7 linked regions of the Canis lupus familiaris genome follow. The protein of the gene in region 2 interacts with the protein of the main gene of each other region in a pairwise test. Links are inferred from orthologs where the notes say so. Each region holds a gene or a part of one and is shown on either strand. Other genes may lie near its edges.

Region 1 (3,500 bases), on a different chromosome or scaffold from region 2:
TGCGCAGTGGGGGGAGAAGCCTTGGGATGGGAGCCTGGAGCCAAGGTGACCCCAGATATCTGCAGGAGGGAGATGATAAGAGAATACATCAAGGCGGCCTGGAACCAGTGGGGAAGGGGCCCAGCCTGGTCCGGAGCCTGCAGAGGGGAAGAGGTGCCATCTGGCCAGTTGGGCCCAGAGACATTCTTTGACCCACACAGTATTTTTTTTTTTTTTAACTTGAATAAATTACTGATACATAAAGATCAGATTTCACACAGAAATTCAGACTTCTGGCTTCTCTGGAAAACAGGAGACCTGGCCTGTGTGGATCCCCATTTCTGCTTTGGAACAGGGGTCGAGGGTGCCCTTTGTTGGGGTAGGTACCTGCCACCTGGTCCACTCATCATTCCTCATATGCTGCCCACCTGCCCCGTGGGCATCTGGGTTTGTGACACCCTCCCTCCCCAAATTCAATCTCCTGATTTTACAGATGGGAAGATGGAGGCCACCCCACGATGTGGCCCAGGTTTCCTGACGCCTAGGCCTGGGCTCCTTCCCAGCCTCGGAACTGCAAAGCCATATCTTCCCGTCTGGGTCCCTGCTTGTGTCTGTAACAGGTTATAGTAAACGCCCACGATCCAACTGCCAGAGTGGTTGGGAGGGACGTTTGTGATCACTGGAGGGGTGCTCTGTGCCAAAGTGCGGGTCTACTGGCCCTAGGTGACTGTCCTTGCTGGCACTGGCAAGAGCCTCCTTCCTCAGGAAGCAGCTCATGTGAGTGTCGAGGAGAGAAACAGGGGGCCGTATGGGCCCCAGGAAGCAGAATGGAGTCCCCAGCTCAGCTACCAGGCCACCAGCTCGGGACCCTGGCTGGGGTGGGCGAGTGCGGGTGTATGGTGGGGTGGGCCGTGTACTCACCCATGTGAAGATGGAGAAGAAGGAGAAGGTGATGGCGGCTCGGGCCGCATCTGTCCCTTCATTCATCGGGTTGTCCTTGGGCTTGGACACCTGCCACTGGTTGGTCAGGAAGCAGAAGCCCACAAACCAGAGGAAGGCCCAGAAGGCTGGGGTGTCCACCGGGGCCAGGCAGAAGGGGCCAGGTGTGAGAGAGGGTGAGTGGGGAGGAACAGGGAGAGGTTCGGGAGCACGTCTCCCATGCTCCCCAAACCCCAAAGGGAGAGGCAAGGGCAGGGATGTGGCAGAGAGGGGAGCAGAGGGAAGGTGGGTCAGACGCAGAGTGGGAGAGACGGCACAGAAAGGGGTCGGCCGTGCAGACAGCAAGGCCAGGAGCAGCCCCGGGGAGAGCCAGAGGCGGTAAGGGGAGGGAAGGCAGGAGAAACAGAGAAAAAAAGTCAGTCAGCTTGGGCGGGCATTTCTGTCATCTCAGCCAAACACAGATTTCCCAGCTGAATCCCTGCCTGGGGACCGCAGACCACCCTGCAGCATTCTGGGAGGAGCACAGATCTGAGGCCCCAGCCCACCCACCCACTGCAGCCTCCCAGAGAAGTGGGTAGAAGGAGGCTGCGGGGGCGGGGGGGGGTGGTCTGAGCACTGCCTTTTGTGCCTGCAGCCTCCCAAAGCCCAAAGCCCGAGGTTACGGAGGGACCTCTAGAGCCGAGGCCTGGGGAGTTTAGCAGGGGGAGGTTCGTGGCAATGAGATCTTCTGTGGGCACCCAGAGTCTCCCCAGAGCTGCTCAGATAACGTGTGTGCCAAAGGGCTGGGGTGTCTAGGGCCCAACATCTCCCACATGGGCACTGCTGGGGAACCCAGCGGCTCCGTGGAATACACTTTGAGAACCATTCGTGTCATTCTAGCTTTCCAGTCTCAGGGACTGGCCTCACTGCTTACAGTCAGCCAGGCTCATCCTGAGAGTCTCAGGCCCGGTACTGGGGGTGTGTGTGGGGTCTCAGCCAGAGACGTGAGACCCGAGACCTCCCTGCCCCTCAACCAAAGCACCCAGTGATCAGACTCTCAGAACTCGCAGGGAAAGAGGTCGGGTCATCTCTGCCAAAGGCTGTTTCCGGAGGACAGGGGCAGCAGGTCATGTCAGGTCCCCACCCTCCCTGGGCCTGGACAGCGCAAGGCCAGCAGCCCTGCGTCACTTGTCGCATGGTTCCCCCGAGGTGGCCCAGAGAGACCTCTGAAGGGCAGGAAGCCTTGTCCACTCCCTGCTGGGGAGCCGAGGGCTGTTCCAGGGACTCGGGCCCACCCCCGCTCCCCCCACTCCCTGCTGCCAGCCACGTGACCCCTGCTGGTCCCCTCACCCACCTGCGCCTCCTCATCTGGAAAGCAGGAGAAGGCAGGTGGGAGGACGGCCCGCGGCAGGCTCTGCGGAGCCAGGGGGCGCCCACTGGGGCGGGGGACTCACCTGAGACCCCAATGTCAGACAGGACGGCCTTCTTGCGGTCCTTGACACTGCTGATCTGCGGGAAGTACACGTCCAGGGCCAGGTAGAGCAGGCAGGTGAGGAAGGCGAGCACACCCACGGTCACACCGTAGCTGCAGGCGCTGGGGTTGCGGTTGTAGATGCAGAACGTCTCGCCTCCCGAGTTGCTGTTGAGGTAGCCCTCGTTCACAATGGAGCCGAACACCACGATGGAGAACACCTGTCAGGGTGGGGACAGGCCAGGCCGGGCGTGAGGTCCAGGCGGGCCTCGAGCCAGCGCTGGGCTTGGAGAAGGGTATACGGTTGGGCAGCCTGCTGCCTGCCCCGACCCTTGCCCCAGTGAGCCCTCTTCACCCCACATGGCCACAGGGCTGCAGTTAAGCATGCGTTTCAGCGGGAAGGCTCAGAGAAGGCAGGCGACTCGCTTAGGGTGGCACAGCACAGGAGGGGACGATCACCTCCTTCCTCAGCCTTGGGCACTAAGGACCCTCTGACCACAGGTCCGGCCCTACTGCTCCCCCACCCAGGTCCTGAGAGGTCTTCCTGCACCCTGACACCAAAATTCCTCCGGGACTGGACCTGGCCTCCTGAGTGGTGTCATGCCCTTCTGGGAGATGGACCTGCCCAGCCCCAGCTTGTGCTCCCCACCCCTCTGTGGAGCCCCAGATCCTGTCCCTGGGTCCAACTCTTCCCTGTTGCCCAGGCCCTGCAAATGGAAGGTGTAATAAATGAACAAGTATCACTAGGGATGCCTGGGTTGGTTGGGCATCTGACTCTTGATTTCAGTTCTGGTCATGAGCTCAGGGTTGGGAGACTGAGCCTCACACTGGGCTCCCGGGGGCTCAGCCGAGAGTCTGCTTCAGATTTTCTTCCTCTGCCCCTTCCCTTGCTCATGTAATCTCACGTGCACGCACGCACACTCTCATGCATGTGCATTCTCTAAATAAATAAATAAATAAATAAATAAATAAATCTTAAAAAAAAAAAAAAAGTAAGGGCGCCTGGGTGTCTCAGTTGGTTAAGCCTCGGACTCTTGATTTTGGCTTGGGTCATGATCTCTGGGTCCTGGGATTAAGCCCTGTGGCCAGCTCTGTGCTCAGCAGAGAGTATGCATGGAGTTTTCTCCCTCTG
Region 2 (4,087 bases):
TTCTAAAGCTTTCCCTCCCTCACAGTGAAAGTGTGGAACAGATTGGATACAGAACTTGAAACTCAGATGACTCCCTTCAACAGTCAGGTCCCTCTCCTCTCCAACTGGGTTCTCTTTTTCCAGCAACTTTTGCAACAGTATAGCAACCATGTTTCCAAAGCTTCTTCTCACTTAGCAGTGAATGTAACCTAAAGGATTGGCTACACAGTGAGAGATCTCACGGGATTCCCTAGAACACTCAGGTCTCCCTCCTCTCCAAAATGACCACCTTTTCCCAGTATCCTTTGTAACAGTGTACCTGCCAGTTTTCCAGAGCTTTTCTTAACCCACATTAAAGGTACTTTAAAGGATTGGCTACATAATGGTCAGATTCAATTGATTGGATTTCCTAACAGCCAGGGAACATAGGAACCTAACTTGTCTTAATCTTTTTCCAGACTTGAGAATCATATTGTTTTATGTATGTATATTTCTATTTAATAGCGTAGATGAGGTCCATCTACAGTATCAAGGATTACTAATGTCTTTTACTTAAAGTCCACAGAGTGTAGATGCTAACTAAAATTCCAAAATGATGGGGATCCCTGGGTGGCTCAGCGGTTTAGTGCCTGCCTTTGGCCCAGGGCGCGATCCTGGAGTTCCGGGATCAAGTCCGGCGTCGGGCTCCCGGTGCATGGAGCTGCTTCTCCCTCCTCCTGTGTCTCTGCCTCTCTCTTTCTCTCTCTATCATAAATAAATAAATAAATCTTTAAAAAAATAAAAATAAAAATAAAATAAAATAAATTCCAAAATGCCTTCATGGCAACACCTAGACTAGTGTTTGATGGAATAACTGGGAACTACAGGCTACCCAACAAACAGGTAAACTTGACCCTCATAGTGATCTAATCATTAGGGAAGCTGAGGGAGAATTTGGACTTAGACCAGAGACTGTAGGACCTGTATGGGGACAGTGGGGCCTCCAATGGCTACAGACAGATTCTTTCTTTCCTATCCTTCCTTCCTTTTATTCATCAATGATTCTCATGATTCCAGGCTGATTATTTAGTTGATAATTAAATAATTTATATAGTTATAATTTATATAGATAATATAGATAATATAGATATGGAAGGAAATATACATATAGAATTATTTATTTATAAAGGAAAGTGTCATTTCACACACAATAGAGTTTTGCAAAATAAAGTGTATATGTAGTCCCCAAGGAATATGTGAATCCGGTGTTCTGGAAACCCAAGGTTGAGCTCCCAGCCTACCAAAGGATGGCCCTGACCTCTCAAAGGACATCCCTGCCTTCATTGCCTCACTGGTACACAAAAGCTTTTTCCTTTGGCCCCAAGTCAACATCTGGCTCTGCTCAACCTACCGTCATGAAGCTGGAGCCCCTTTAGTCTGTTGTCCCAACCCCAGCCTAGCCACTGCATGCCAAGGACTCCATACAGTACCGCTTTCTTGCTCCGGTTGCCAGTCATATTCCAACCCGATTGACCTGCAGCAGAGCCAGCAGCCTTTGGATCCGCCTTCTGTCGCCGCTGAGAAGCACCCACAGACTGGGATCCATGCTCCATCATTTCTAGGCAAAAGAAGAGAGGCCCCAGAAACACCCATAGAGGCTATACCAAGGCTTCCTGGACACAGGACACACCAGAAAGAGGATAAGGTACCCAAACTTCTTAGGAGTCATTCAATATTCATTCACTGTTGTCCCCTGGCAGATCCCAAGCCTCAGTCTGTTCATTTGTTTAAAAGTTTAGTAAGTATTTCTTGAGGGCCAAACTCTGGGCTAGGTTACTGGAGGGAGAGCAATGACCAAGACACAAGATCTCAGCAATCTAGTAATCAACTGTCTATGTGTGCTTAGCTGAAGTGAGGGGTGCAAAATGGGTATAATCTATCAGTGTTAACTCAGATCAAGAGATACATGCTCCCAAAATGATAAGAACAGGGCAACATGGTGGAAGGAAGGGCTACTTCTAGAAAAGCCAGAAACACCTGTGAGGCAGAGACCTGAAAGACAAAAATGATGGCAGCCATGGAAAATCTAGGAAAACAGCATCCCAGGCAGAGGTAGCAGTCAACACAAAGGCTATCAGGAAGAATCAGCCTTCGGGTCTTATGAGGACAAGTATAAATGCAGTGTGCTGTGGGTCATCATACCACAGCATGAAATATATTGAGGAGGTGGCATTGGCTGGCTCTTGTAGATCAAGGAAAGGAGTTTGGATTTTACTCTAAAGGAGGAAAAGGCATTAAAAAGGAGAGAGAATTGGTCTGAATGATCTTATAAATTGAGCGCTCTGGATACTTTGCCATAAACACAGTGGTAGCTTGGACAGGGGGAGATAAGGACCACACATGTGGATCCCATCCTACTCTCTCACAGGCTTCAAAATGCTCACATCATCAATACCTTTCCCCCCCAGCTTCCTGTTCATCAAGGCACAAATACAGGTATACGCACACCAAGGCACAGACACACACATAGCCACACATACTTGCATATATATGACTCTTCCCAGCCATGAACACACCTTCTCCAACACATGTGACTGGGTGCAGACACCCAAAGGAAAGGGACATTACAGGGGCTCCTCACCTGCTATCACCAGGTGCTCCTGGCTTTTCCCATAGTTTCCAGGAACCAGCTCTTCAGCGATGGATGTTTCCATCTCCTCCTTGATAGTAGGGGGGCCTCCTGCCATCACAGCTAGCGCTTAGCTATTAAGCTATAGCCAGGATACACAGGAAGCCGGGCACAGAGCAGACTCTTGGAAAGTCTGCTCTTCCAGGGGCAGGAGCTCGAGGAAGATATATCTGGCCATGGGGGTGGAGCCACACTCTCCCACAGGACTCAGGCCTTGGACCCAGCACCTTGTGTTCCTGTTGTATCTTATTGGCTTGGTTCACAGTCTTCTCCCCTGCTACTCTGTAAGCAACTTAGGAGGAGGAGTTTCTGATACTTATCTCAGAAACTTTGCCTGTGAGAACTACCCTGGCTCTCGGGTCACATGATTTGGCCCCATTGAGGGGCCAGTGGGATCTACTCTCCATCATTTCTAAAGAGAGGTAGATACTGGCACAGGACCCCAAAGCCAGTCAGTAGCCAGAACAGGGTTAGATCCCAAACTTGTTGTGGCTTCTGCAAGCCCAGCTCTGGCAAGTATTTCAGGCCACAGCTCCCCTCAGGAGGCATCCTCTACAGAGCACATCTTGTTTCCCCCCAATGTAGAGTTCCCAGGGGAGATGGCCTTTTAATGCCTTGGGTCAGTCTGAGCAGGAACCATGAGAATCTAAGGAGGGAAGGGCAGGAAAGAAGGGATCTACCTGTAGCCACTGGAGGGCCCACTGTCCCCAGGCAGGCCCTGCAGTCCCTGGTCTAAGTCCAAATTCTCTCTCAGCTTCCCTAATGATTAGACCACTGTGAGGGTCAAGTTTATCTGTTCGTTGGGTAGCCTATAGTTCCCAGTTATTCCATCAAACACTAGTCTAGGTGTTGCTATGAAGTTATTTTGGAGCTTTGGTTGACATTTGCACTCTGTGGACTTTAAGTAAAAGACATTACTAATCCTTGATAATGTGGATAGGCCTCATTTAATGAGTTGAAAGGCCTGAAGAGCAAAGACTGAGGTTTTCCAGCGAAGAAGAAATTTTGCTCAAGAATGCAACATCGGGAAACAAAAGCAAACAAAAACTCCTGGGACTAAATCAGAATACAAAGCTTTGGCACAGTAAAGGAACCTGTCAACAAAACAGAAAGGCAACCTAGTGAATGGGAAAAGATATGGGCAAATGATGTATCTGAGAAGGGGTTAAAATGCAAAATATATAAAGAACTGATACAACTGTCAGCACTAGAAAAACAAAAAAATCCAATTTAAGAAGGGGCAGAGGACCTGAATAGACTTATTTCCAAAGAAGACATACAGATGGCCAACAGACATGTGAAAAGATGCTCAGCATCACTCATCATCAGGGAAATGCAAATCAAAACCACCATGAGGTATCACCTCACCCCTGTGAGAATGGCTAAAATCAACAATACAAGAAACAAGTGTTGGTGAGGACATGGAAAAAAAAAGGAACC
Region 3 (4,054 bases), on a different chromosome or scaffold from region 2:
TACGAAAAGGGCTGAACGACCAAGGGGGGAGGGTTCCCAGAGCTGTAGGTCCATTTCTCAACTCAAGCTCAAGCCCAACAGGCAGTGACTTAAGGAACAATCTTTGGGGACCAAGAGCTCAGATTTGGGCCACAAGTCTCCTGGGGAATGGGGACACAGATACTGAGCTCATCTACACTGGCCCATACCTGGATGGTTCCCATGGTGTCTACAGGCACACACTTCTCATTGTGTTTTACACAGACCCTGTCAGTCCCACTGAATGCTACACTATACAGCACACAGTCACCCATTGTGATGCATACACTGACATGCCCTATATCTCCTGTTCTGACATACTGTACACACCTCCTCACCCTTCACAGTTTCCATTTTTATCAGCACTGCACATGCAGACATTGAAAAATCCTACAGCCCTCAGACTTACACACACACACAGCCCCCACCATCCTTTAAAGCCTGCACACCACACCGGCCTGTGCACTATACACAGGGCGTCCACACAGAATTCCCCGAAAGAACCCTTTGCTCCCCAGGAGGTGGATCCCGCCCCTGGCAAGCTAAAATGAGCTGACCTCAGGCTTCCCTGCCCCTTTCTTCCCTCCCGCTGCCTTTCCCCAACGCCCACCCCCAGCTTCAGGAAACTTTCCATCAGATCCCTAAAAGGGGAAACCCGGGCTTCCTCGAGCCCTGCCCCCCCAGGCTCACGCAAGCTGCCCCCCCTTCCCCGGCTGGGCTCTCACCGGCACCCAGAGGGGAAAGGTCACCGTAGGCGGTCCCCTGCCTGCGCCCTGGGAGTGAACAGCTGTCACCGAGACCTAGGGGAGGTGCCGGCCCCGTGTCGCCGCAGGAGCGCAAAGGGGTCGCGGGGACGCTCGGGTCGAGCGTCGAGAAGCCGAGGCGGCGGCGGCGGCGTCTCCCGGGCCCGGGGCGGCCGAGCCTGGCGCTGGGGCGCGTGGAGCTGTCCGTTCAGCACCGGCGCGCGGCGCCCCAGCCCCACTCCCGCTCCGGCTCCCGCGGGCGCGTGCGGCGCGGGCCGCTGCCTCCCTCGGGGGCCGAGGGGCACGCAGAGCGGGAGGAGGGGGCTCTGCGAGCTGCGGGGCCGCGCAGCCACCTGTGAGCCTCCCGCGACCACGAGCGGCGGCGGCATCTCCGGCTGGACGCGGCAGGAGACGCTTGGCGGACCCCGCCCGCCGGCCCGCCGGGCGCACACACACAGGCGCACACCCGGGCGCACCCGCGCGCACACGCACAGCCGGCCGCGGCGGCCGCGGCGATGCCGACAAGCAGGTCGGGGAAGTTTCCCGCCGGCCTCGGCCGCGGGCCCCCGTGCTCGCAGGTAAGCGCCTCCAGAACGCGTGGGGTGAGCCCTGGCAGCCCGCTGGGTAAGGCGCGGCGCACGCGGCCCCGGGGCACCGCGCCAGGCGGGCGGGGAGGCCCGGGGCGGGGAGTGAGGGGCTTCCGTCTTGAGGGCCGGACGCAGGGGATGCCAGGCTGCCCGCCCCCAGCCTGGGCTGGCGGACCCAGGCAGCGAACCCCCCCCCCCGCCCCGGGGCTGCGCGCCGCCACCCCGCTCGGCCCAGCCCGGCCGTGCGCATCCCAGGGACAGTCCCGCCGGTCTGCGGCGGGCGGGCGGGGGCGTCTCCTCGGCCCGCCCACGCGCAAGGTCGGCTGCCTGCCCCCCGGGGCTCTCAGAGTAAAGCGGCCCACGGGACCCCCGCGGCGAGGGTGCAGGCGCGGCCACGCTCCTGGAATTCTACCCCCTCCTCCCGAGCCTTTCCTGGGGAAGGGGCCAAACCGCACGGGCCTCCCCCGTCCCGGAGCCCGCAGGCCTCGGATGCCCGCCCGGGGAGGGCTGAGCCGGCCGGGGACGCGCGGCGGAGAGGAGGGTCCCGGTCCCCGAGCGCCCCGCGCTCACGAGGCGTGACTCCCCCGCCCGCAGGTGTAGCGCCGCCGCGCGGCACGGGCGCCGGGAGCCTCCAGCATGACCCGCCGGAGCCCGTGGGACGCGAACGAGGCCAACGTCGAAGACGGGGAGATCCGCGTCAACGTAGGGGGCTTCCGGAGGCGGCTGCGCTCGCACACGCTGCTGCGCTTCCCGGAGACGCGCCTGGGCCGCCTGCTGCTCTGCCGCTCGCGCGAGGCCATCCTGGAGCTCTGCGACGACTACGACGACGCGCAGCGCGAGTTCTACTTCGACCGCAACCCCGAGCTGTTCCCCTACGTGCTGCACTTCTACCACACCGGCAAGCTGCACGTCATGGCGGAGCTGTGCGTCTTCTCCTTCAGCCAGGAGATCGAGTACTGGGGCATAAACGAGTTCTTCATCGACTCCTGCTGCAGCTACAGCTACCACGGCCGCAAAGTGGAGCCGGAGCAGGAGAAGTGGGACGAGCAGAGCGACCAGGAGAGCACCACGTCCTCCTTCGATGAGATCCTGGCTTTCTACAGCGACGCCTCCAAGTTCGATGGGCAGCCGCTGGGCAACTTCCGCAGGCAGCTGTGGCTGGCGCTGGACAACCCCGGCTACTCGGTCTTGAGCAGGATCTTCAGTGTCTTGTCTATCCTGGTGGTGCTGGGGTCCATCATCACCATGTGCCTGAATAGCCTGCCGGACTTCCAGATACCTGACAGCCAGGGCAACCCTGGAGAGGACCCCAGGTTCGAAATTGTGGAGCATTTCGGCATTGCCTGGTTCACGTTTGAGCTGGTGGCCAGGTTTGCTGTGGCCCCTGACTTCCTCAAGTTTTTCAAGAACGCCCTAAACCTCATTGACCTCATGTCCATCGTCCCCTTTTACATCACTCTGGTAGTGAATCTGGTGGTGGAGAGTACACCGACCTTGGCCAACTTGGGCAGGGTGGCCCAGGTCCTGAGGCTGATGAGGATTTTTCGCATCTTGAAGCTGGCTAGACACTCCACTGGCCTCCGCTCCCTGGGGGCCACCCTGAAATACAGCTACAAAGAAGTAGGGCTGCTCTTGCTCTATCTCTCTGTGGGGATTTCTATCTTCTCCGTTGTGGCCTACACCATTGAAAAGGAGGAGAATGAGGGCCTCACCACCATCCCCGCCTGCTGGTGGTGGGCCACCGTCAGTATGACCACTGTGGGATATGGGGATGTGGTCCCAGGAACTACGGCAGGGAAGCTGACCGCCTCTGCCTGCATCCTGGCAGGTATCCTGGTGGTGGTGCTGCCCATCACCTTGATCTTCAATAAGTTCTCCCACTTTTATCGGCGCCAAAAGCAACTTGAGAGTGCCATGCGGAGCTGTGACTTCGGAGATGGAATGAAGGAGGTCCCTTCCATCAATTTAAGGGACTACTATGCCCATAAAGTTAAATCCCTCATGGCAAGCCTGACGAATATGAGCAGGAGCTCACCAAGTGAACTAAGTTTAAATGATTCCCCACATTAGCTGAGAGGACTTGTCATCTTCAAACCCACACTGCTGAGTTGCCTCCTGTGCCTCTGGCACAGTTCAGGCACCTTGTGGTTATGGTGTAAGAAGTACGCCCAACCCTAAAGGGGAGAGATGCATGGGATATGCACCCCAGGTTGCTTTTACAAGTATTTAGAATCATTTTTAGAGGGTGTTGTGTCAGACACCATGCCTTTGCACCCTTCAATGAAATGACACTCACTGGTCTTTGCTTTGTGGGCATAAAATGTTCACCTTTCTGCCAGAGGAGTACCACCCAGAATGCTAATTTTTCTGTTTATTGTGTGCTCTACTCTAGTGCTCGTGGCCCAGTACTGTCTGTGAGTTGTTTGTGCTCTTGTCTCTGAGGTTGTCATGTGAGTTTTGTACAAAATGCTCCCACAAGTCCATCCAGTGAAAACACATCTGTGGGTTCAGCAAGAACGTGATGGGATTTTTGCTCAGTCAGGTGAAAACAAAATCTCAGTCCTTTAGCCACCGCTTTCATTTAGTTTTGTTACCAAAACAAAGAATGTGAAGTTAAGCACACATGACCGATGCAAGTCCGTGTGTTGTTTTTACAAATAATCTGTAGCTCTGTGGCTTGCATGGGCACACGGGTCACCTTTAGGA
Region 4 (3,500 bases), on a different chromosome or scaffold from region 2:
GAGGGCTTGAGAGAGCAGCGGCTGCCACTTCTTGTTTCTGGGAGAGGAGAAGTCCTTTCTAAGGCCAGGGAGGGCCAGGTGAAGGCAAAAGTCGGGTGAGAGATGGGGATGGAGATGGGCTGAGGCATTGAGGCATGGGGTGGGAGGAGACAAGGGGCTGGTGTGAGGCTGGGCTGGGAAGCGGGTAGAGGCAGGGCCTGGGAAGGGTTTGGCAGCAGGACCAAGGATGGGGGTGGGGATGATGTAGGTGAAGGATTGAGATGGTCCTCGTTGGGGGAGGATGGGGTATGGTGAGAATCAGGGCTGGGTTAGAGCCGGGGCTGGCAATGGGTTGGGGTGCTCCCCAGGAGCCAGGCCCACCTGCTGAATGGCCTCAATCTCTACACCCAGCGATGGGGGCAGCAGCCTGGTCCAGCCCACTCTTCTCACTTGGGCCCCTTCTGATAGCCTGGGCACATGGTCAAGAGGGGAAGGCTCTCTTTGTGCCTGCCCACTACCCATCAGTACACCCCCTCTGGGGTGGCTACTTTGCCCACATTGGGGCTGGAGGTCAGGGTTCCCGGCCTTGGGGCTCCCCTCCTACCTCCTCTACCCCTTATGTTCCACTCACTCATCTGGCCCCTCCTGGGTCTGACTCAGCTTCTCTTCCAGGTGTGAGATTTCCAGCCTCAGTTCCTGCAAAGGAGGGAGTGGGGGACCCCTGCCCCTCTGTTCTTCTCCATCTCCCAGCCTTGGGCTCCTCCGACAGTCAGTTCCACTCCCCTGATTTCCCTGGGCTCCTCCAGAAGCGTCTTGCCCAGGGACAAGGGGAAGAGAGCAGTGACAGAAACTCAGGAAGCCAAAGAGAGCTAGAGAGCAGCAGGAACCCAGAGGGTAGCCCACCAGCCAGGAAGATTAAAAACAGGATACATGGCCACAGATTCACGGAGAGGTAAAAGACTCATGAGGAGTAAGAGACTCAGAACCCTCAGAACCCACAGAGGGGAGAGTTATCCCTAAAGACAGATTAGATCAAAGAAAGGCAGGCACACAGAAAGATAAGCAGGGGAGATGCAGTGGTGACAAGACCCTCCCAGAGAATGAAACTGGACCCGAGATGGAGTTACGCAGGGTGGGAGAGAGAGGAAGGAAACAAAGGGCAAGTGAAAAGGTAGAGAGAGAGACACACACAACTCCAGAAAAAGAGAGACAGGGGCAAGAGGAGGCAGAAAATCACAGAGATGGCAGAAGAGTGGGGCCAGGCAGGGGGCCACGGGTGGGCAGGAAGGCAGTCGGGTACCTGGGTGGTTGTTCTGTACTCCTCCAACGTCTTGGCCAGACCCTCAGCGTGGTGAGTGCGCTGGAGAAGCCCAAAGCCCCCTGAGACTGGGCCCAGCCCCGCAAAGATGCTGAGGCAGGGCTAGGGGAGACTGGCAGGGTGAGTCTGAGGGAAGAGCTTGGGCCAGGGGGAAGAGCGCCAGGTTTCTAAATCCTGCAGGGACATACTTGCCACCCTGGGTGCAGGGAACCCTCTGACCCCTCCAGGCTGCTTATCCAGGGGATGAGACCCAGGCAGGACTTCCCTTTCCAGACCTTGGGGCAGGGGCAGGGGATAGCCGGGAGCACATGGGAGGTAAATGTCCTTCACCACCCCCTGGGGCCTCTCACCTCGGAGAGGACAGCATCTCGTTGGCAAATGAGGCGTTCACACTCACAGAGCTGCCACTGCCAAGGAAGGAGCCTGTCCATCTGTCCAGCCTCCTGGGACTGGCCTCAGCTAGTGCTGCTGCCCTTCCCAGCCCACCCAACTCTCCCAAGCCCCTCTCAACCTCCCACGATGTCTCTGGACATGAGCTATCCCAAGAGGGATTGCAGCTGAGCTGCCCAGAGCCCTGGGAGCCTGATGGCTGGATGAAGGCCCCGGCTTTCACGAGGCCAGAGGGGCTGAAACTGATAAAATGGCCACCAGGGAGGGGTGGCACCTTCAAAGCCTCCTTCTCTGTGGCCAGCTCCTCACTCCTCCTTTTGACTCCATCCCGTTCAGCCAGCAGCTTCCCGTTCTGGAAGAAGGAAAAGACCCGTCAAGTCCACTTCAGCCAATGGGAATATTAGTACCCACAGCTGGCATTTTCTCAACCGCTGACATGCCATGACAGGCCTCGGGCACTTTATAGGTTTGGGTTCATTTAACCCCTCCACCCATCCTATGAGGTCCCAGTTTGATTTCTCTGTGCATCATTGGGTACACAAATGTACTTCACAGGGCTGGTAACAGTATCTGCTAGCCTGTCCTGAACACCTTGCAAGTGTTACCTCATTTCTTCTGCAGTATTGTGAAGGTAAAGACAGGTTAAGCAACCTCCACCCCTAGCCCACCGCCTGCTTCCCCACCCCCCAAGTCATACAGGTGGTAATTCATGCAAACACACGCTACTAAGCACAAAGCATTCAGAATAGCACCCTGCACTTATGGAACGATGTTCAGGAAATGTAAAATACATGTTTTTAAGATATTTTCAAAACTTCATGTTTTTCACACACACATGAGTAAAAATACCAGTATAATGGACTCCCACTACTCATCAGCCAACTTCAGTAATTATTTACATTTCCCTGGTTTCTTCCCTATCCTCCAAGGTTTTTTTTTTTTTTTGTTTGTTTGTTTTGTTTGTTTGTTTTTAAAATATTTATTTATTCATGAGAGACACAGGGGGAGAGAGAGAGAGAGATAGAGAGAGGCAGAGACAAGACACAGGCAGAGGGAGAAGCAGGCTCCATGCAGGGAGCCCGACGTGGGACTCGATCCTGGGTCTCCAGGATCACACCCTGGGCCAAAGGCAGCGCTAAACTGCTGAGCCACCTGGGCTGCCCTCCTCCAAGGTTTTTTGTCTTGTTTCGTTTCACAGATGATTCTAAAGCAAATGCCAGGTATTCTATTATTTCTATCTGGAACGACTCTCGGCATTTTAATTTCCTGCTTAAGGAATTTTTTACTTTACCAAACTCACAATACCAACTATCACTCTTAACAAAAGTAATAATTCCTTACTATCGCATATAGAATTTGTTTTTTTTTTTTTTTTTTTTTTCATTTTGGTTGTCTCACAAGATCTTTTCACATTGAGTCTTTTACATGAGGATCCAAACAAGGTCTGCTGTGGTTTTTGGCTGAAATGTCTCAGTTCTTTTCCTCTGACAGTGGTTGCTCACCTCCCCGACATTTTGGGGGCCCTTCTTTTGTTTAGGAAATCAGGTTATTTGTCCTGTGGAGTTGGTGCATTAGGATTTGGCTTCCTGAGTTCTCATTCTCTGTGCTGGATGCTCACCACATTCCTCCCACCTCTTTACTTCCTCTGCAGAAGTGGGTAGCTCCAGGGCCCTGACCAGGCTCCCGTTCAATCTTTTGGCAGGAAGATTTCACGGGTGCTGTACACGTCATATTGCACCATTCGGGAAGAATGTAATGTCTGGTTGTCCCAACTGTTAATGTTTTTATTGGCATCACCCCTCCCCCACCTCTT
Region 5 (3,500 bases), on a different chromosome or scaffold from region 2:
AACTTTGTTTCAGACAAAGGTCCTTGAGGACCTTGTCAGTCCCATTTTTCAGATGCCCAGTTGCCCGGCACATAATAAGGGCTCAGTAAATCTTCATTGAAAGACTGAAGCAGGATACCTGGATGGCTCAGTGGTTGAGTGCCTGCCTTTGCCTCAGGGTGATCTGAGGAGTGATCTCAGGGTCCTGGGATCAAGTCCCACATCGAGCCTGCTTCTCCCTCTGCCTATGTCTCTGCCTCTCTGTGTCTCTCATGAATAAATAAATAAAATATTTTTTTAAAAAAGAAAGACTGAAGCATACAGGTGCCCAGTGATAAGCCTGGGCAGGCCCTGGAAAAGGAGGAAGGAAAGACAGGCAGTGGTCAGGACTTAAGGAGGATCCTGAAGTGACAACAAGTCACCATATAGGGAAGTTGGGGTGGGGCAATGCTTTGAAAGGGAGAGTGGTACTTTGTGTGGTTCATTCCCAAGTTTAAGCATTGCCAGATACGTGGGTTCGGAGATTCTGTGTCTGTCATGTCTGGGGTGGAAATAGCACTCTGCAGAATAGCTCTGAGCATTCCTCAGAAGAGTGGAAGGTTCAGACAACGCGAGGAGCCTGAGCCAGTTAGTGATTCTTGACCACTCCCTTGACACACCCTAATTTGTTTAAGCTCTTAATGGCTCTTTGAAGGAAGTACTGTTATCACCCCATCTTAGAGCTGAAGGAGCTGAAGCTGGCAGTAGTGAAGCCACTTGCCCATGAGCATGTAGCTTTTTCCCTTTCTCCTTTAAACTAGATTACCAGTTAATTATAAAATGATATAATTCAGGAACAGGAATATGGAAAAGGTGCCTAGGGCAAGGTGTGACGAGAAGGCAAGGAGCTTCCATGCCCTCTGAGCCCACCACTCTAAGTCACGTGTTCACCAACCAGAACCACATAGCTCTTAATTAACAGGGCAGAACCTTCCCCCAAATCCTGGTGTCTGAGTCAGACTTTACCAGCGAGACATCATTCTGCCTCTGTTGCTAGAAGACTGTATTACTGTTGAATGGACAACAGTATGTCGGAAATGTTTATTTAAAACAGTAAGTGAATAAAACAGAAGGCGAAAAATAGCATTGCAAACTGGTTATCAGCATCTGAAACTGTATACATTAGGATTGGATGGGCGTTTTTGTTTTTTGTTTTTTTAAGTTATTGAAGAGGGGATCCCTGGGTGGCTTAGAGTTCAGCCCCTGCCTTTGGCCCAGGGGGTGATCCTGGGGTCCGGGAATCGAGTCCCACGTTGGGCTCCCAGCATGGAGCCTGCTTCTCCCTCCTCCTCTCTCTCTCTCTCTCTATCATGAATAAATAAATAAAATCTTAAAAAAATATAAAATAAAGTTATTGAAGAGTTTTATTTTTTTTAAGATTTTATTTATTTATTCATAGACAGAGAGAAAGAGAGGCAGAGACACAGGCAGAGGGAGAAGCAGGCTCCATGCAGGGAGCCTGATGTGGGACTCCATCCCAGGTCTCCAGGATCACACCCCAGGCTGCAGGCAGCGCCAAACCCCTGTGCCACTGGGGCTGCCCTGGATGGGCGTTTTTTGAGGAGAGAGATTTGAGTTTGGGGTTTTAGTTTAGGTTCTTTTTTTTCTTTTTTTTTTTTAAAGATTTATTTATTCATGAAAGACACAGAGAGAGAAGCAGGCTCCCCACAGGGAGCCCTATGCAGGACTAGATCCTAGATCCAAGGATCACACCCTGAACTGAAGGGAGACGCTCAACCGCTGGACCACCCAGGAGTCGCTAGTTTAGGTTCTACAAGCAGTTGTGCCTACTATGTGCTAGGCTCTGTACTAAAGCTGAGGCTGTGCAGGAGACCTTGAGAGCCCGTGCTTGCCTTCTGAGCTCACACTAGCCAACTTGCAGACTGGGAAACAGGAAACGACAGCACTGGATAACATAATAGGGGAAGCACTGGTACAAAATGCTTTGAGGGCAGAAAGCAAAGCTCAAAGACGGCTTTCAGACAAAGACAGCATTGGAATTGGGCCTCTCTCTGTGAAGAAGGGTGTTCCAGGCAGCAAAAACTGCAAGAGTAAAGGTCCAGAGGCTGGAGAGTCACTGGTGTGGACGGGTCTGGGACGGTACGGGGAGATAGAGAAGGGGAAGGGTGTCAGGAAAAAAGCCATCCTTGGGGACTTGAGCCTTATTCTGGAGGCAGTGAAAACTCCTGAAAGGTTTTAAAGTGGGGAACCAAAAATAAATAAATAAAGTGGGGAACCATCTGACTAAGATTTACTACTCTGGGTTCATTTAAAATCAAGGGGGAGGAACCCAGAACAGCAACTGCTTCCACTGCCATTCCAGATTGTGGGGTCTCCCCTTGGAGGGCACAGCCTGCTTGCCCAGCCAGTCTTAAAAAACACCTCAATAGCTGACTGGGCATAGCTGTGTTAGGAGTCAGAGACTTGCCTGTCTTGGGTAAAAGTAACCTAGGGGAGGAAAGCACTCCAGTCTCCAGGGGCTATACGGCCTCTTGAGTGAGTGAAGCTGGTTAAGCAAAGAACAGGCCAGAGATCTCTCAGTTGACTATTAAGAACGAAGCGCAGAGAGCTTATTTTGTACCAGGCACTGTGCTAAATATTTCATGTGCCCTATTTCATTTAATCATGTCAGCAACCCTGTGGGGTAACTATTATTACCTTCATCTTATGGATGAGAAAGCAGAGGCCTAAGAGGGGTTAGCTTGGTGGTTAAGAACTTGTGTTCTGTGGTCATGCTGCCTGGCCTTGAATCCTGACTCCGCCACTCAGTAGCCATGTGACTTTGTGAAGGTTCTTTCCTCACTAAGTTTCAGTTTCTCCACCTGTGAGAGGGGGACAGGTGGTACTGACGGCAGGCACATGGTGAACCTCCTGAAGTGCTTCCCTTTCTTTTCCTGAGATCTCACCATTAGTGAAATTGAAGCCAAATTCCAGCTTACCTCTGACTCCAAAGTCCTAGCCTCAGCTTCTTTGGTCTACTGCTGTTTTTGTTCTAGAAGTAAGAAAGGCTTTGAAATGGAATGTTTCTAGATCACAATTTGACTCATAAAAATGTAGACCTGACTAAAGGCCCTGACTGATTCTGACAAAGGCCAGTATGCTTCTGATTCCTACCTACTACCATGCCACACTCCCACTGTGGCCCAGGGGTCTTGGGGCCACCAATAGACCCTGATGTTCGGGGTTCCAGCAGGCTTGTTTGGGGTACATCTTGCTCTCCTGCCAACCCATCTTGCTCTCCTGCCAACCCTTTTCTCCACATTCTTTTTCCTCCTCCACCCCCAGTGAGAAAAAGCGCAAGCCTGCATGGACCGACCGCATCCTATGGAGGTTGAAGCGGCAGCCCCAAGCCAATCCCCACAACCAGAGGCTGCCAGTCCCCCACTTCTGCCTGTCTCTGAGGAGCTATGTCAGCCACATGATGTACTGCATCAGTGACCATAAGCCTGTCACCAGCACCTTTGACTTGGAGGTGAATTTCC
Region 6 (3,500 bases), on a different chromosome or scaffold from region 2:
AGGCAGAGGGAGAAGCAGGCTCCTCATAGGGATCCTGATGTGGGACTCGATCCCTAAACAGGGATCATGCCCTGAGCCAAAGGCAGATGCTCAGCCACTGAGCCACCCAGGCATCCCCCAACTTGTTTTTTAAATGTGTTTCTAACCCACTTGAATATACTTTTAAGATACCCTGTAGCATGAGGCCACCCACATATCTTGTATGTGGTTGCTTATCTAATCATAGTTCAAGTGGCTGAGTATACATTTTAAAAAATCAAAACATAATTGGAATTTAGGCTAGCCTGCTTGTATTAAGACAATTCCTCTTTAGTTTTTTAAAATTTCAGATTTTTACTAAAAGAAAAATCTAGTATCTTGATAACTAAAATTTTAAAAAATTGGTTAGGTACAGAATTAACAGATTATGCTTTGGAAATTGTTCAACAGACAAAGTACACCTAGAGAACATAAAAATTCTTTATTTAACCTAATCCAGCCACTATTGAGATAGTCTGCTATATTAAAAACAAGACGTTTAAAAAAATTACAGCACAGTTAGCAAGGCAGTGACTAATTAAGTCACTAAGTTTAATTTTATATTCTTCACAGTCATTTGATAATCATGTACTGATGAACAATATTTTCAGCCACTTTGGAGATAAGTTAACTTCTGCAAAGAAGAAAATTCTACTAGTTGTCACTGAATTTTATAAAAGAGGTTTAAAACATTGAAGTTTATAGAAATAACACCGTAAAGCAATGTGAAAATAAATGGGAAAACACAAAATATACCCACCCAACCCAACTGGAAAACACAATATACCTACCCATCCCAAAGTCTACAACATCCCTTTAATCTGTCTCCTAACACCATTCTCTTACCTCTTCATTCCCTTTTCCTAGAGCATGAAAAGACTACTTAACAATTAAGAAACAGCTACTGCTCTGTAGGGCCTGTCTCAAGCCTAAAGTGCCTCTGTTCCTTTCTCAGTTAATCCTAGAAATGGTCTTCTGAGATAGAAGTATTACTTGTATTTCAGAGATGAAGAAAACTGCAGCTGAGAGACAGCCAGTTGGCCATTGTCATACATCCAGTTAGTAAAAGCAGAATCAGAATTGGAACCCAGGTCTATCAACTTTAGTCAGCTCTTAAGTTGTTCATAGTGGTATAGGTCACCTTTCTGAAGACTGGTATGTGGTACTTTCTGAGCTAAGGTTTTTTAGATTTAAGAGTGTTAAATTCCAGGGCTAGAGGCCTCTCTGGTTCCCAGGCACTTGCAATTCCCTCCCCACAGCCCTAGAAACCCCTCCCTGCTGCACCCACCCCCCAAAAGGATTAGAGTTGTTTTTCTGGCACTCATGAGCCCTGATGCCAGTAGATGTAAACAGCTACTCCCTCCATCTTGGCCACAAAGTAGTAACTGGGGAACGGTGTGCTTGTATAATTTTATTAAAGGCTGCCTAAAAGTTGTTCTATATAACAAAATTATGCAGGAAATATCTACTATGTCTTTCTTATATTGAAAATTAAAGAAAAGCCAATATATTTTATAATTACAGCTATATAATCTAAGTTATTTTTATATATAATCATAGATTTTATATTTCCCCTTCAGAACTATAGCAGTGTTCTTAATAAGGCTCACTGTCAGTCAAATATTCCCTTCCTCCCAAAATAATTACAACTCTGTTCAACAGCCATTCACATAAACTTTATAACACAGAATTAAGACATTCATACTATAGAAAGGTACCAGTCTTAAATTACTAAAGTTAACATACATTATTGCAATCTAACATAGCTCAATCTATATTTGCTACACTCCTAAAAAGAAGTGGCCACTTATCAGTAAGGGAAACGTTAATTATTGTCATGCATTAGATACTGTGAACAAGAAATTCAATACAGTTTTTGGAACTATCTTTTAAAAACTTAATTTTAATTAGTGAAAATAACTGCAAGACCATCCAGATTGCTGAACAACATTAAAAAGGCCACTATTAAAGATGGCTTAAAATAAATAATTGCTTTTTAAAAATGAACATAAAACTAGTTACAGTGATTAAGGTGCTAACCTCATCAATATGACAAGCAATTAAAATCTAAAAATGTTAGTACTGGTTTTTATAATAAACTGATTTAAGCCAAAAACAATAACCTCAATATTTACTCAAGACTTCTTGTTTTCATAATTATCTCCTCACTGACTGGTATAAAAACAAAGAGCTCAAGGCCTCACCTTGGTTTACTCACTGCTGGTTTTCTATCTGTTGAAACTAGACGGTAAACTGCATAAAAGCAGGAACCAAGTCTGTCGTGTTCACCATTGTCTCCCACAGCACTTTGTATAATGCCTGGGCAAATAGGAGGTGATCAACAAATACCTGAATAACTGAATCAATGAAAGAGAAGAGTAAAAGAACTTTATTGATTTTTTTTTTTTTTTTTTTTGCAAATCGTTCTCTGTGCTCAAACTACTATAAACTGACAGCTCTAATTTCTAGAAATATGGATTTAAAAACCTTACTCCAGTGATTGAAGGACCTGATGACTCTCTCCCTCTCTTTTACACACACACACACACACACACACACACACACACACACGGTAATTATGACTATATGAGTCAAAATTACATTATGAACTATGAGATGTCAACATTATATAAATAAAATTTAATAGTGAAAAAGTGATTTGGAAGCCCTGTGAATTTTTACCCTACACATTTTGGAGGACGTCACATGGGTTCAGAAAAACACAACAAAATCGCATTTGTTCAGATAATAATTTGAATGTTTACATACATTTTTGGTTTGTTATTTTTTATAACTAATTTACATATCCTCATATTAACATATACTCCTGTTTAGCATGTAATCAAATTATGCCAGTGAGAAAAATCCTCATAGTACCTTCATTGAGTTGCTGATTCTAAGAAAACACTGAACATGAACACGTACAAAAGAGGCATTTGAATAAAACAGCATGTGCATTTTTAAATATTTGCACAGTTTGATCTTTACATTTCTATCTGGAGAAAATATGAACAAAACCCAGGTTTACCATGCTAAGATAATGGTTCAGATGACTGCCATAAAAGAAGTACATACAAAACAATGAAAACAAATCACAACCTCAGGTTCCGTGATTACTGAGAGGATTTCCCCTGCCCTAAGTGCTTTATTATATTTCTTAAAAATATGAGCAGCAGCTTATCATAAGTCTCCACTACTGTGCATTAATGATGGAATCAGAACAACACAACAGACTCATTAAGGATGAAAGGACTGCAGAATAACTAGAAGTCAAAGTTTTATGCTTCTTCTTGCTCTGGATAATTTAGAATTTTGCGGTGTGCCTGACGTAAATATTGCTGTTGTTTGAAGTAAACCTTGAATGCTCCTTTTATGGCAACAAAAGCAATTCCACCCTAAAATAAAAAGGAAAATTAGCTTTTTATAATGCAGATTTATTTATTTTATTTTTTAAAAGATTTTATTTATCTATTAGAGACACA
Region 7 (2,981 bases), on a different chromosome or scaffold from region 2:
CGTGGGCACGGGGCTGGAGCAAGGGGGGGCCCAGCCCAGGGCTGGCATCTGAGACGGGAACTGTGGTGGGGCAGGGGGACAGTCAGAGCCCAAGTTCCAGAAAGAGGACCTGACTGGGTCTAGAAACAGCACTGGGCCCAGGTCTGGGGCAGGCTGGACCCTCACGGGGGTGCCCCTCATCTAGCCCCTTCTCCCTGCAGGCCGCACTGTCCAGCGGGGAGTGCTGGATGAGCAAACCTGGGGAGGGCAGGCAGCCCAGCTGTAAGACTGAAGGCCCAAAGGAAATAATCCCTAATGGTAGATTCAGGCACCAGGCACGACGAGAGAAGGCATAAACCTGATTGTGTTGGGCCAAACTTCACGACAGCAGGTGCAGGAAAGAGCCTGCAGGTGTGTGATCACGTACAGGTGCTTGCACACGCCCGCCCTCTCTCCCCCTCCCCCTTGAGTCTCCAGCAAGGGGCCAGAGCCGGGCGGCAAACCCCAGAGAGGACCAGAGACCAGCTGGAAACAACATTTTATTGAGCTCTCCTCAGCCATCAAATCTATTCCAGCAGATTTTCTCTTCGCCCAGGGGCCTTCCCGACATGGGGGTGTGGCCAGCACTCCCCCCCCAACCCCCGCCGCCAGAGGAAGGCTCCAGGCTCCTTCCCTGCCGGGTGGTGGTGGCAGTGACAGCACCCAGGCCACCTCAGGGGCTGAGGCCAGGAGAGCGGCCCAGCCAGGCCTTGGCGCGGGCAGTTAACCAGTAACGACCCCCGAGGTATAATGAATTCATTTCTCTTACAAAAAAGAAAGAAAAAACTAGTATGAAACCTCAGTAGTGTCCCAGCACTCGGAGTTTAAATATAAAAAAAGGGATCAGCAGAAAACAGTTAAAAAAGACAACAAAACCAGCAAGGCCACCTCCAGGGTGGCGGTCGGGCGGGGGCGAGGCCAGCCCCGTCCCCAGCGGCTCCAGCTGGTATCACTGGAGGAGGCGGAGGCCCCAGCCTAGTAGCAGCACCAGCAGCAGCAGCAGCGACAGCACCAGCCCGCGCCCCGGGTTGGGGGACACCTGTGGGATGAAGGGCGGGAGAGGTGAGACCTCCAGCCGGGGCCGGGGGTGCTCAGGTGCCCCCCACGTGTGCTCAGGGGCACGGGGTGAACCAGGGTGGCTGAGAGGGTGCTGGAGAGTGGGTCAGGGAGGCGGGGACACAGGAGCGTCTCCGGACAGCACAGCTCACAGGTGGGGACAGCACCCAGAAGCCAGAGCACAGGTGGGCCGGGGAGACGGCCCGGGAGGCGGCAGAGGAGAAGCCTACCCAGGCCGCCGTGGGCACCAGTGGGGGCTGAGCTAGGGTAAGGGACGGTCCCCGGTGCTGCTGGGACAGACAAGGAGGGTCGGGAAAGAGGCTCAGGAGAGGCACCTGCCGGGCAGAGGAGCGAGGATGGTTAGGGAGGCTCACGCGGGGCTGGTGAAGGTGCTCCCGGGGGGTGGGTGGGGAGCCGGAGCATGGGTGTGGGAGCAAACACGCCTGAGAACTGGAGCATAGGGTGGGGGGCAGCCCAGGAGGCTCAGCGGTTTAGCGCCGCCTTCAGCCCAGGGCATGATCCTGCAGGCCCGGGATCGAGTCCCGCATCGGGCTCCCACACGCACGGAGCCTGCTTCTCCCTCTGCCTGTGTGTCTGCCTCTGTGTGTGTGTGTCTCTCATTAATAAGTAAATAAAATCTTAAAAAAAGAAAAAAAGAACCGGAGCATGGAGCTGATAAACCAGGGGTCTCCAAGCTGAAAACCGGGAGAAACGAGGGCAAGCAGGCACCACAAGACAACGGGGGGCGGGGAGGAGCAGTCTGTGGCACCCGAGGACATGCTCTGCGGGGCAGCAGCTCCGTGGCTGCAGGTGTCACCGCAGGCAGGCGGGTAAGTCAAGGTCACAGAGTTCACGGTTCATTTACCCTGTTCCGGAAGGTCAGGAAGCTCCAGATGCGGATGTTCTCCCTGAGGTTAGCAAGACCATCCAGGAAACTTCTAAGAACACCTCTCAGGCCTGTCTGGTTGTAGGTAAAAGCCAAGCTGTAAGACAAATGGGCAGGGAAGCAGGGCCATTACTGCAGGGAACAGGGGCGGAGATGGCCTTTATTTCAGGGGACCCCCGCGGGGAGAGGAGGGCGGCGTCCCCTCCCCCCCACACCACTCTACCCCCTTCCCCGGGTGGATCCACCAGAGGTTCTCTCTCCACGGGCCATTTCTGGTCCTAATGCATCTGATTTCCTGTTTCCTTCCCCTACCCACCGGCCTACCGGGGGTTTTGGTCTTGGGTTCTGGAAAATGCTCCACTGCTCACCGGCCCAAGGACCTGCCGGTCCTCCCTCCGGAGGATCTTTGCTGTGATGGAGGCCCAGGCACCCCAACAGAAGGCTGCCTCCCTGGGGACCAGGAGACCACAGTCGCTCTGGCTTAGGGGGAGGGTTTCCACATCCCCACCTTGAGAACCCAGAGATGCTGGCAAATGGTGGAAGTACACAGTGTGCTCAGGACAGATGCCTCCCGGCAGGACACACGGCTTCGCCAAGCTCACCACTTCCTACCAGCACTTTAAGTCAAGACCCTTTCGGAAAAGCACAGTCTTGGCTTGATGAAGAGGCAGAGGAAGGCACTGGGTTGTGCTTAGTCTGTGGCCCAGGGGCAGGGGCGGGGCAGGAGGTGGAGGGCTGGGGGGGGCACCACCTGTACATGGCCATCCCGGGCAGCTCGCCAACGCGGGGAAGCATCCATCTCACTTCCATCTCGTCCCCGATGAAGGCCAGCCGCATGGCCACATCGTCGGGGTTGTTGCTGTGGGGAGGGCACAGGGAATTAGGGGTGTGGCCGTGTGGTGACCCCCATACACAGGCCCACCTGGCCCACCGGGCCCCGGATTTGTGGGAGGCAAGGGGCGGCACAGAGCAAGGTGGGGGGCAGGGAACCTTCACATGCCCCTCCCCTGGCCCCCACTTT

Evidence for each region.
Region 1: the proteins of FATE1 (region 2) and SYNGR1 interact in binary tests that used the Homo sapiens proteins (3 or more experiments, as listed by UniProt). The two-hybrid records come from large-scale screens. The link is inferred for Canis lupus familiaris from reciprocal best matches to the Homo sapiens genes FATE1 and SYNGR1.
Region 3: the proteins of FATE1 (region 2) and KCNS2 interact in binary tests that used the Homo sapiens proteins (3 or more experiments, as listed by UniProt). The two-hybrid records come from large-scale screens. The link is inferred for Canis lupus familiaris from reciprocal best matches to the Homo sapiens genes FATE1 and KCNS2.
Region 4: the proteins of FATE1 (region 2) and KASH5 interact in binary tests that used the Homo sapiens proteins (3 or more experiments, as listed by UniProt). The two-hybrid records come from large-scale screens. The link is inferred for Canis lupus familiaris from reciprocal best matches to the Homo sapiens genes FATE1 and KASH5.
Region 5: the proteins of FATE1 (region 2) and INPP5K interact in binary tests that used the Homo sapiens proteins (3 or more experiments, as listed by UniProt). The link is inferred for Canis lupus familiaris from reciprocal best matches to the Homo sapiens genes FATE1 and INPP5K.
Region 6: the proteins of FATE1 (region 2) and MARCHF5 interact in binary tests that used the Homo sapiens proteins (3 or more experiments, as listed by UniProt). The two-hybrid records come from large-scale screens. The link is inferred for Canis lupus familiaris from reciprocal best matches to the Homo sapiens genes FATE1 and MARCHF5.
Region 7: the proteins of FATE1 (region 2) and BIK interact in binary tests that used the Homo sapiens proteins (3 or more experiments, as listed by UniProt). The two-hybrid records come from large-scale screens. The link is inferred for Canis lupus familiaris from reciprocal best matches to the Homo sapiens genes FATE1 and BIK.

The regions. Positions count from the first base shown.
Region 1 is NC_049231.1:26,653,415-26,656,914, forward strand, and holds part of SYNGR1 (synaptogyrin-1), read right to left. Parts: intron 2,590-3,500; coding exon 2,352-2,589; intron 1,047-2,351; coding exon 901-1,046; intron 1-900. UniProt on the Homo sapiens protein: May play a role in regulated exocytosis. Modulates the localization of synaptophysin/SYP into synaptic-like microvesicles and may therefore play a role in synaptic-like microvesicle formation and/or maturation.
Region 2 is NC_049260.1:120,980,317-120,984,403, reverse strand, and holds the start of FATE1 (fetal and adult testis-expressed transcript protein), read right to left. Parts: upstream 2,801-4,087; 5' UTR 2,706-2,800; coding exon 2,600-2,705; intron 1,577-2,599; coding exon 1,449-1,576; intron 1-1,448. UniProt on the Homo sapiens protein: Involved in the regulation of endoplasmic reticulum (ER)-mitochondria coupling. Negatively regulates the ER-mitochondria distance and Ca(2+) transfer from ER to mitochondria possibly implicating it in the regulation of apoptosis.
Region 3 is NC_049234.1:728,009-732,062, forward strand, and holds the start of KCNS2 (potassium voltage-gated channel subfamily S member 2), read left to right. Parts: upstream 1-1,254; 5' UTR 1,255-1,276; coding exon of another isoform or gene 1,277-1,927; intron 1,928-1,942; 5' UTR 1,943-1,984; coding exon 1,985-3,418; 3' UTR 3,419-4,054. Other genes in the region: proline-rich proteoglycan 2-like, read left to right, coding at 1,277-1,927. UniProt on the Homo sapiens protein: Potassium channel regulatory subunit that modulate the delayed rectifier voltage-gated potassium channel activity of KCNB1 and KCNB2 by altering their kinetics, expression levels, and shifting the half-inactivation potential to more polarized values.
Region 4 is NC_049222.1:107,757,135-107,760,634, forward strand, and holds part of KASH5 (protein KASH5), read right to left. Parts: intron 2,040-3,500; coding exon 1,962-2,039; intron 1,705-1,961; coding exon 1,648-1,704; intron 1,340-1,647; coding exon 1,280-1,339; intron 676-1,279; coding exon 611-675; intron 449-610; coding exon 361-448; intron 59-360; coding exon 1-58. UniProt on the Homo sapiens protein: As a component of the LINC (LInker of Nucleoskeleton and Cytoskeleton) complex, involved in the connection between the nuclear lamina and the cytoskeleton.
Region 5 is NC_049230.1:45,609,638-45,613,137, reverse strand, and holds part of INPP5K (inositol polyphosphate 5-phosphatase K), read left to right. Parts: intron 1-3,303; coding exon 3,304-3,490; intron 3,491-3,500. UniProt on the Homo sapiens protein: Inositol 5-phosphatase which acts on inositol 1,4,5-trisphosphate, inositol 1,3,4,5-tetrakisphosphate, phosphatidylinositol 4,5-bisphosphate and phosphatidylinositol 3,4,5-trisphosphate.
Region 6 is NC_049249.1:6,950,792-6,954,291, reverse strand, and holds the end of MARCHF5 (E3 ubiquitin-protein ligase MARCHF5), read right to left. Parts: intron 3,414-3,500; coding exon 3,297-3,413; 3' UTR 446-3,296; downstream 1-445. UniProt on the Homo sapiens protein: Mitochondrial E3 ubiquitin-protein ligase that plays a crucial role in the control of mitochondrial morphology by acting as a positive regulator of mitochondrial fission and as an important regulator of immune response.
Region 7 is NC_049231.1:23,375,692-23,378,672, forward strand, and holds the end of BIK (bcl-2-interacting killer), read right to left. Parts: intron 2,820-2,981; coding exon 2,712-2,819; intron 2,058-2,711; coding exon 1,940-2,057; intron 1,058-1,939; coding exon 968-1,057; 3' UTR 501-967; downstream 1-500.